2 linked regions of the Macaca fascicularis genome follow. The protein of the gene in region 1 interacts with the protein of each later gene in a pairwise test. Links are inferred from orthologs where the notes say so. Each region holds a gene or a part of one and is shown on either strand. Other genes may lie near its edges.

Region 1 (5,206 bases):
CCTCGCCCGGCTAGTTTTTTGTATTTTTAGTAGAGACGGGGTTTCACCATGTTAGCCAGGATGGTCTCGATCTCCTGACCTTGTGATCCGCCCGTCTCGGCCTCCCGAAGTGCTGGGATTACAGGCTTGAGCCACCGCGCCCGGCCCACTTTTTTTTTTTTTTTTGAGACGGAGTCTCCGTCTGTCGCCCATGCTGGAGTACAATGGCGCAATCTTGGCTCGCTGCAACCTCTGCCTCCCGGGTTCAAGCAGTTCTCCTGTCTCAGCCTCCTGAGTAGCTGGGATTACAGGCATGTGCCACCATGCCTGAGGGTTTTTTGTTTTTTTTTTTTGGTATTTTTTGTATTTTTAGTAGAGACGGGTTTCACTATATTAGCCAGGCTGGTCTCGAACTCCTGACCTTGTGATTTTGCCGCCTTGGCCTCCCAAAGTGTTGGGATTACAGGCGTGAGCCACTGCACCTGGGCTTTTTTTTTTTTTTTTTTTTTTTTTTTTTTTTGAGACAGAGTCTCGCTCTGTCGTCCAGGCTGGAGTATGGTGGCACAATCTCAGCTCACCATGGTCTCTGCCTCCCGGGTTCAAGTGACCCTCGTGCCTCAGCCTCCTGAGTAGCTGGTATTACAGGTGCACCCTACCACGCCCAGTTAATGTTTTGTATTGTTAGTAGAGACAGGGTTTTACCATGTTGGCCAGGCTGGTCTTGAACCCCTGACCTCAAGTGATCCAACTGCCTCGGCCTCCCAAAGTGCTGGGATTACAGGCATGAGCCACCACTGCCCAGCCAAGACTATATACTCTTATTTCCCAGTGAATACATTATTGACAGTTTTTGAAAATACTGACTGTAGCCCCAAAAAGCTTAACTGGTTGGAGATACAGGGCAGACAAAGGATAGATAAAAATGGTAGGGGCAAAGAGTAAATGCTATGGGATTCTAAGGGTATCTGTATGAGTGAGATTCCTTTTTGTTGTTGTTTTGTTTTTGAGAAGGAGTCTCGGCTCTGTCACCCAGCCTGGAGTGCAGTGGCTTGATCTTGCTCACTGCAACCTTCGCCTCCCAGGTTCAACCAATGCCTCAGCCTCCGGAATGGCTGGAATCCCGGGATTACAGGCATGCGCCACCCTGCCCAGCTAATTTTTTTTTTTTTTTTTTTTTTTTTTTTGAGACAGAGTCTCGCTCTGTTGCTCAGGCTGGAGTGCAGTGGTGCGCAATCTCAGCTCACTGCAGGCTCCGCCTTCCGGGTTCACGCCATTCTCCTGCCTCAGCCTCCCGAGTAGCTGGGACTACAGGCACCCGCCACCAGGCCCGGCTAATTTGTTGTATTTTTTTAGTAGAGATGGGGTTTCACCATGTTGGCCAGGATGGTCTCGGTCTCCTGACCTCGTGATCAGCCTGCTTTGGCCTCCCAAAGTGCTGAGATTACAGGTGTGAGCCACCGCGCCCGGGCACTACACCCTGCTAATTTTTGTAGTTTTAATAGAGGCAGGGTTTCACTATATTGGCCAGGCTGGTCTCAAACTCCTGACCTCAGATGATCTGCCTGCCTCGGCCTCCCAAAGTGCTGGGCTTACATGGTGAGCCACCATGCCTGGCATGCCTGGACTTTTTTTTTTTTTTTTTTTTTTTTTTTTCAGATGGAATCTCGCTCTGTCACCCTGGCTGGAGTCCAGTTGCATGATCCAAGCTCTCTGCAGCCTCCGCCTCCCAGGTTAAGTGGTTCTCCTGCCTCAGCCTCCCAAGTAGCTGGGACTACAGGCGCACCCCACCATGCCCAACTAATTTTTTATATTGTTAGTAGAGACAGGGTTTTATGATGTCGGCCAGGCTGGTCTCAAACTCCTGACCTCAAGTGATCCACCTGCCTCGCTCTTCCAAAGTGATGAGATTACAAGTGTGAGCCACCATGCCCAGCCAAGACTATGTACTCTTATTTCCCAGTGAATACATTATTGATAGTTACTGAACATGTTGACCACAGCCCCAAAAGGCTTACTGGTTGGAGATACAGGACAGACAAAGGATAGATAAAAATGGGAGGGGCAAAGAGTAAATGCTATGGGATTCTGAGGGTATTTGAATGAGGGAGGTTCTTTTTTGTTTTTGTTTTGTTTTGAGTCAGAGTCTCTGTCGCCCAGCCTGGAGTACAGTGGCTTGATCTTGGCTCACTGCAACCTCCACCTCCTGGCTTCAAGTGATTCTCAGGCCTCAGCCTCCGGAATGGCTGGAATCACAGGCATGCGCCACCACACCTGGCTAATTTTTTGTATTTTTAGTAGAGACTGGATTTCACCATGTGGCCAGGCTGGTCTCACACTCCTGACCTCAAGTGATCTGGCTGTCTTGGCCTCCCAAAGTGCTGGGCTTACACGCATGAGCCACCCGACCTGGAGTTTTTTTGTTTTGTTTTGTTTGAGATGGAAACTCACTCTCACCCAGGCTGGAGTGCGGTGGCGTGATTTTGGCTCACTGCAGCTTCTGCTTCCCAGGTCAGGTAGTTCTACTGCTTGACCCAGTAGCTGGGATTATAGGCACGTGCCACCACACCCAGCTAATTTTCCTATTTTTAGTAGAGATGGGGTTTCTAGCCAGGCTGGTCTCGAACTCCTGACCTCAGGTGATCCGCCTGCCTTGGCTTCTGAAAGTGCTGGGATTACAGGCGTGAGCCATCGTGCCCGGGCTGTATGACTGTATGAGGGGGGTTCTTGAGCTAGGTGCTTTTTGTTGTTGTTGTTGTTGTTGAGACGGGGTCTCCCTCATTCGCCCAGGAGCACAGTCATAGCTCACTGCAGCCTTGACCTCCTGGGTTCTAGCAAGCCTTCCACCTCAGCCTCCCAAGTAGCTGGGTCTACAGGTACGTGCTGCCACACCCAGCTAGTTTTTACTTTTTGTAGAGATGGGGTCTCACTATGTTGCCCAGGCTGGTCTTGAACTCCTGGCTTCACACAGTCCTTCTGCCTCAGCTTCCCAACGTTCTGGGATTATAGGCATGAGCCACCTCACCCAGCCTTCTTGAGCTGAGGAAAGTTAAGACTGACCTCAAATTTCAGGAGACAGTCCCAAAGGAATTGTGGTAATATTGCGATTCTTTTTTTTTTCCCCCCCGAGACAGAGTTTTGCTCTTGTTGCCCAGGCTGGAGTGCAATGGCGCAATCTCGGCTCATTGCAACCTCTGTCTCCTGGGTTCAAGCGATTCTCCTGCCTCAGCCTCCTGAGTAGCTGGGATTACAGGCATGCACCACCAAGCTCAGCTAATTTTGTATTTTTAGTAGAGACCGAGTTTCTCCATGGTGGTCGATCAGGCTGTTCTTGAACTCCCGAACTCAGATGATCTGCCAGCGTTGGCCTCCCAAAGTGTTGGGATTGCAGGTGTGAGCCACCACGCCTGGCTGAAATTCTTAAGTAAATAAACTTTTCTCTAGGCACATGAATTGGAACTATGGAACAAAGAGATTATTGATGCACTTATTCAAGAAACACATTTACATATGTAGAACAGAAAGGTTGCACAGCTCTTATATACTCAAACATAGTTGTAGAGTTAGATCATGTTCTTAACTTTCTTCATAGTTACCTTTTGGGGAGGAAAACCACCCTTTTTCATATTAAAGTAAAACGTGTACATAATAAAGTGTGACTGGCATCCAAATCAAGAAACAGACCCTTCCCAGTACCATAGGAATCCTCCTTCCTTTCTAGTTACTTTCCTGACTTCTAATAACAGATTAGTTTTGAGTATGTTTGAGTAAAAGAACAGATGTGAGTATATGTTACGTATTTTAAGTTGGAAAGTTTTCAAAAGATGCTGTTCAAAATCTGTTAAGAAAAATATAGTGTCTTAGAAAATGTACTAAAATGTATTGAATTTCAGTGCTGAAATAGATCTAGGCCAAACTCCTCATCTATAAAATCAGGAAACTGAGGCCCAAGGAGGTTGATTGTTCCTCAGAGAAACAGCTGGTTAATGGTTGAACCCAGGCTTTTTGCATACCAGTTTAGTCATAATAAGTAGTTGGTTTGTGGGAATATCCTTTTCATAAACGATAGTGTAAAAGCTGACTGCTAATACAACTTTACAGAAGGAGATAACAATGCAGTATTATTTAAATGTGTCTTTTCTTTTCCCCCTCTTAGTATGAGAACTTAAACTTGCCAAGGAGGTAGAGATTTTTAACTCCTGAAGCATAATTTAGTGAAGTTAGCTTAGTAATTAAGAGCATGGGCTTTATAATTAGATTTGCTTTGAGTCCTGGCTTTTCTTCTTAAAACCTGAAGTACTGGCTCTGTATCTCGATTATCTTTATCTGTAAAAACTGTGGGAAGATTAAGAGTGTCTTTACAGTGCTTAGAATAACCTTGGGACATAATTAAACAGATAGCTGTTAGATGTCAGAAGTAGCTATGTTTTCATATTCTGTTGTGCTTATTGTTCTTGAATTATAAAGGTATTGTTCAATGGTTTAGTGATTACTGGATGTAAATATGCCTCAAGAAAAGCTCAATATGAGGGCTATGGTACTTCTAATAGTGTTTCTTTGTCACCTGTGTGCAAATAATCCATGGGGCTGGTAGCCAAGTAGTCCACCCTTATCTGCAGTTTCATTCTCTGCAGTTTCAGTTACCCACTGTCAACCATCGTCCAAAAATAAGTGAGTATAGTACAATAAGGTATTTGAGAGAGCACATTCACATAATTTTTATTACAGTATATTGTTATAATTACTCTATTCTATTATTGTTAATCTCTTACTGTGTTTAATTTATAAATTAAACCTTATCATAGGTATGTACATATAGGAAAAAACGTATAGGGTCAGTACTATCCGTGGTTTCAAGCATCCAATAGGGATCTTGGAGTGTGTCCCCTGTGGATAAGAGGGGATATATTAATACAGAGGAATATATGTGGGCTCTGTTCTCCAGATGTGATTTATTTAATCTTTCTTTAGGAGACAGTTATAAATTGGAGAAAAGTTTGTGTTAAAATGTTACCTTCCTGAATGAAAAAGTTTATTTGGGAAACTCTCAAATGATATAGAGATAATGGGATTATTTTGGATTTCTTGACATGGCTCTGGTTTCCTGAAACTAGAGCAAAGAATCTAGATTCTAATCCTATGGTATATAATCTTGGATCCCTTTGCAAATCTCTTCTTCAGTGGGCTTTGGGAACCAGAAAATAAGTGGTCTCATTCATCTGACATCCAT
Region 2 (4,734 bases), on another chromosome or scaffold:
CTGGGATTAAAGGCGCGTACCACCATGCCTGGCTAATTTTTGTATTTTTAGTAGAGATGGGGTTTCACTATGTTAGCCAGGCTGATCTGGAACTCCTGACCTCAAGTGATCCACCCGCCTTGGCCTCCCAAAGTGCTGGGATTACAAGTGTGAGCCACCGTGCCCGGCCTATGTTTTTTTTTTTTTTTTTTAAAAGGAGACTACACATGCCAGTCAGTGATATCTGAGTAAAATGTCCAAGGATTGATAAGCCTTTTCCTAATAATTTCACCTAAATCCTCTTTCCCCACAAATACGAAGAAGTTACTTCCAAAAGCTTCATGGAGAAATTTGGTGGATACCAAGGGATCCAAGTTAATGTTAGCAACAATAGACATCACATGACTTAATGTAGCACCCAGAGAACTCATGTACCATCCCTGCCTCTGCTTTGGGGGGAGGGGAAAATTGCTATGAAGGACATTACCATTGTTAAAATTAAAACATGAATTTTATGTTAGATATTAGATTGTATCAATGTTAAATTTCTTGAATATGATTATACACACAAAAATATAATTTTCCAGGAAAACACTCTTGTTCTTAAGACATACACACTACTGTATCAGGGTGCAAACTATTCAGGGTGCAAAAAAGTCATGGTATCTGTAGCTTATTCCCAAGTGGTCAGCAAAAAGTGTGTATTATAGAGCATGGTTAAGCAAATATGGTAAAATGTTAACAATCTGTGAATCTAGGTGTAGGGCACACAGGAGTTCATTTTACTAATCCCATCATTTTTCTCCAAGCTTGATCCTTTCCCATAATAAAGTTTAAGAGAAAAAAAAAAAGGTTACTCTTACCACAGATTTGGTATCCGTGCTATGGAATAATTTGCAGTGTTCCACAAGTCCTTCCTGATCAAAGTTCTTCTCAGGACAGTAAGGACAAGGAAAGGTGTAACGGTTTGGAACATTCCTGGAAGGTGAAAGACAGGAAAAAAGAACATTTTTCTGTGAGTACCTTTCCATTAAACTTCAACCACAGTACACTCCCAAAAGGAGCAAAGCTCACCGAATGTGTAACGACAAGGACGCTGATGATCACTTTAGACTCAGATCAAGTGTTCTGAAGACAACAGCTCAGCTAGCCGGACATGGTGATTCACACCTGTAATCCCAATAGGCCAAGGCAGGAGGATCACCTGAGGTCAGGAGTTCAAGACTAGCCTGGCCAACATGGCGAAACCCTGTCTCTACTAAAAAATATAAAATTTAGTCAGGATTACTGGCAGGTGCCTGTAATCCCAGCTACTCGGGAGACTGAGGCAGGAGAATCTCTTGAACCCGGGAGGCAGAGATTGCAGTGAGCTGAGATTGCGCGACTGCACTCCAGCCCAGACAACAGAGCGAGACTCCATCTCAAAAAAGAAAAAAAGAATAGCTCAGCTAACATCTGAAGTGAACACCAGAGTCCTCCCTTGCATACTCCTCCCAAAATACTTGTATCAGCTTTAGCCAGCATAACAATTCATACAACTAAACCCCTGACCATGCAAGGTGTCCAACCTCTTTGTATTAATAGCAAGAGATGACCTCCACCTAAGGGGAGACTGAGTCATTTACCTTGGCTGAAGAGATGCATCCTTAATGGTGGCCTTCACACCTTCCATGATGTAATTCTGGTATTTGGAACAAGTAGCCACGTGGGACCGGATCTTGGATAGGAAGAACTCAAATAGGAAGAATCAGAGCCCACAAGTTAGTGAGGACCTTGTAACAGGCCAAATGTAGTCCCAAACAAGGGCGCAAAGAAAACTAGACCTACACCACCCTGGCAAATAATCTCACCAGACTCCTGACTATGCTGATGGGGCTGAAACCCTGATTATTGCAGATTTCCCATTAATAACAAGGCTGCTATTTTATTTGACTAAATCAGGATATCCGCTTCCACTCTAAAATAACTCTTCTAGAGGTTTGCTCCTATTCATGACAGGCTGTGTGCTCACAGACAAGTTCCAAATCTAGGATGTTGTTAAAAGTTTTCTATAGTAGCATTTAAACTAGTCTCCTTATAGCAAACCAAAAACCACGTTCTGTTATGTGCAGCAGAGAAAAGTGATCATTTAGGTAAAACGTATAAAAGCCACCAACCCTGATTAAAGTATCAATCACCAGACTCTGAGAAATAATCTTTAAAATCTAAATTCTTTTTTTTTTTTGAGACGGAGTCTCACTCACTCTGTTGTCCAGACTGAAGTGCAGTGGCACCATCTTGGCTCACTGCAACCTCCGCCTCCCGGGTTCAAGTGATTCTCCCACCTCAGCCTCCTGAGTAGCTGGGGTTACAGGCGTGTGCCATCATGCCCAGCTAATTTCCATATTTTTAGTAGAGATGGAGTTTCACCGTGTTAGCCAGGATGGTCTCGAACTCCTGACCTCAAGTGATATGCCTGCCTTGGCCTCCCAAAGTGCTGGGCTAACAGGTGTGAGCTACCATGCCCAGCCCAACCTTTCACATAAAATCTAGGCTGTGCAATAGTAAAACAGAAAGAGAAGAAAACCCAGAGAATAATGCTTCATTACAGGTTTTCTAAAAAGAAAGAAAGTTTTAAGAATTGAAGAAAAGAGGGAGGAAAGAAAAACATTTTTAGAGGCATGCCAACCATACAATAACTAATCTTGAAAATGGAGAAAAGCAAAAGCACACAGTAAAACAAACAAAAAGCCCATCATGGGTGGAGCGTGGTGGCTCACACCTGTAATCCTGAGGGAGGCTGAGGTGGACCATCACTTTGCACTCCCAAGTTTCAGATCAGCATGGGCAACATGAAAACTCTGTCTCTACTAAAAATACAAAAAAAATTAGGTGGGCGTGGTGACACATGCCTGTGGTGCCAGCTACTTGAGAGGCTGAGGTGGGAGGATGGTTTGAGCCAGGGAGGCAGAGGTTGCAGTGAGCCGAGACCACACCATTGCACTCCAGCCCGGGCAACAAAGTCAGACTCCGTCTCAAAAAACAAAACAAAACCAAACCAAAAACCACATTATGCATGCATAAATAAAGATGAAGAGACCGGGTGCAGTGGCTGACACCTGTAATCCCAGCACTTTGGGAGGCCGAGGTGGGCGGATCACAAGGTCAGGAGATCGAGACCATCCTGGCTAACACGGTGAAACCCTGCCTCTACTAAAAATACAAAACAAAACAAAACAAGAGATATATACATATATATGTATACATATATATATATCTGCGCGTGGTGGCAGGCACCTGTAGTCCCAGCTACTCCAGAGGCTGAGGCAGGAGAATGGTGTGAACCCAACAGGCGGAGTTTGCAGTGAGCCGAGATCATGCCACTGCACTCCAGCCTGGGCGACAGAGTGAGACTCCGTCTCAAAAAAAAAAAAAAAAAAAAAAAGGCAGTAGGAAACTGTAATTCAGTATCTTGAGTTTCTAAAAGTAAACTTCAAAGGGGGAAAAATGCTCCAAGATTGGAGCTCCAGCTTACCATGATGATTGTCTCACCTCCAGTTAAAGAACTTGACTTTAAGCTACAAACTGAGAAATCCCCAATTTTTTTTTTGTAGAAACTGGGTCCACTATATTCCCCAGGCTGCTCTCAAACTCCTGGGCTCAAGCAATCTTCCCACCTCAGCCTCCCAAGGAGCTGGGACTACATGCAGACACCACTACACACAGCTAGTTTTGTTTGTTGGCTTGTTTTGGTATATACAGTGTCCCACTATGCTGCCCAGACTGATTTCGAACTCCTGGGCTCAAGTGATTCTCTTACCTTGGCCTCTCCAAGTGATAGGATTACAGGCATAAGCCACCATGCCCAGCCTCAATAGTGAAGCCCCCAATTAAGATATAGAAAATAGCCCTATTCAGCATTAAAATGGTCCTACTATGCATCGCTAATACTAAATCACCCTGAAAAGGAGATGGTAAGGTATATTCATACTATGGGCATCCATACCGAAGTGTTAAAAATAATGAAACTGACATGCAAGGCTGTCCAATATGTAAGAGGAAAAAAAAACTGAAAGTGAAAAAAAAGTTGGGAATGAATGTACATTTAAACAAGTGAAAAAAGTTGAAGAAACATATATATTATAGTGTGATCTCATTTTGCAAAAATTCTACAACTGGGTTGGTAAACATTCTACAGTTTTTACCAACTTTTGGTAAAAATTTGTCAAAGGGCAGAAAATGTTATGTAGCTTTCGAAACTGAATCACTTTTTTTTTCTTGAGACAAAAAAAAGTCCAGCTCTATCGCCCAGGTTGGAGTGCAGTGGTGAGAACTCAGCTCACTGCAATGTCTGCCCCCTGGGCTCAAGCCATCCTCTCACCTGAGCCTCCCGAATAGCTGAGACTACAGGCACACACCACCATGCCCTGCTAGTTTTTTGTATTTTCAGTAGAGCTGAGGTTTCACCATGTTATCCAGGTTGGTCCAGAACTCCTGGACTCAAGCAATCCACCCACCTCGGCCTCCCAAAATGTTGGGATTACAGGCATGAACTACCTTGCCAGGCCTTAAATTGAACCATTTTAAAATAATCTCTGGAATGAGGAACAAGCCTACATTATTGTGTATTTTTGTATGGTCTGCAATTTAAAAAATTTTAATGATTCTAAAATCAACAAGGCTGTGAATATCTCTTGGAAAATAAGACAACAGTATTTCTCCTTTCCAGTAGCAGTTATAACACGTATGAAAATAAATATACTTGACTCTGATTAT

The links. The genes of interacting proteins can lie anywhere in the genome.
Region 2: the proteins of UBE2K (region 1) and RNF114 interact in binary tests that used the Homo sapiens proteins (3 or more experiments, as listed by UniProt). The link is inferred for Macaca fascicularis from reciprocal best matches to the Homo sapiens genes UBE2K and RNF114.

The regions. Positions count from the first base shown.
Region 1 is NC_088379.1:38,999,004-39,004,209, forward strand, and holds the start of UBE2K (ubiquitin-conjugating enzyme E2 K), read left to right. Parts: upstream 1-1,620; 5' UTR 1,621-1,635; coding exon 1,636-1,709; intron 1,710-5,206. UniProt on the Homo sapiens protein: Accepts ubiquitin from the E1 complex and catalyzes its covalent attachment to other proteins. In vitro, in the presence or in the absence of BRCA1-BARD1 E3 ubiquitin-protein ligase complex, catalyzes the synthesis of 'Lys-48'-linked polyubiquitin chains.
Region 2 is NC_088384.1:106,026,753-106,031,486, reverse strand, and holds part of RNF114 (E3 ubiquitin-protein ligase RNF114), read right to left. Parts: intron 1,712-4,734; coding exon 1,605-1,711; intron 958-1,604; coding exon 843-957; intron 1-842. UniProt on the Homo sapiens protein: E3 ubiquitin-protein ligase that promotes the ubiquitination of various substrates. In turn, participates in the regulation of many biological processes including cell cycle, apoptosis, osteoclastogenesis as well as innate or adaptive immunity.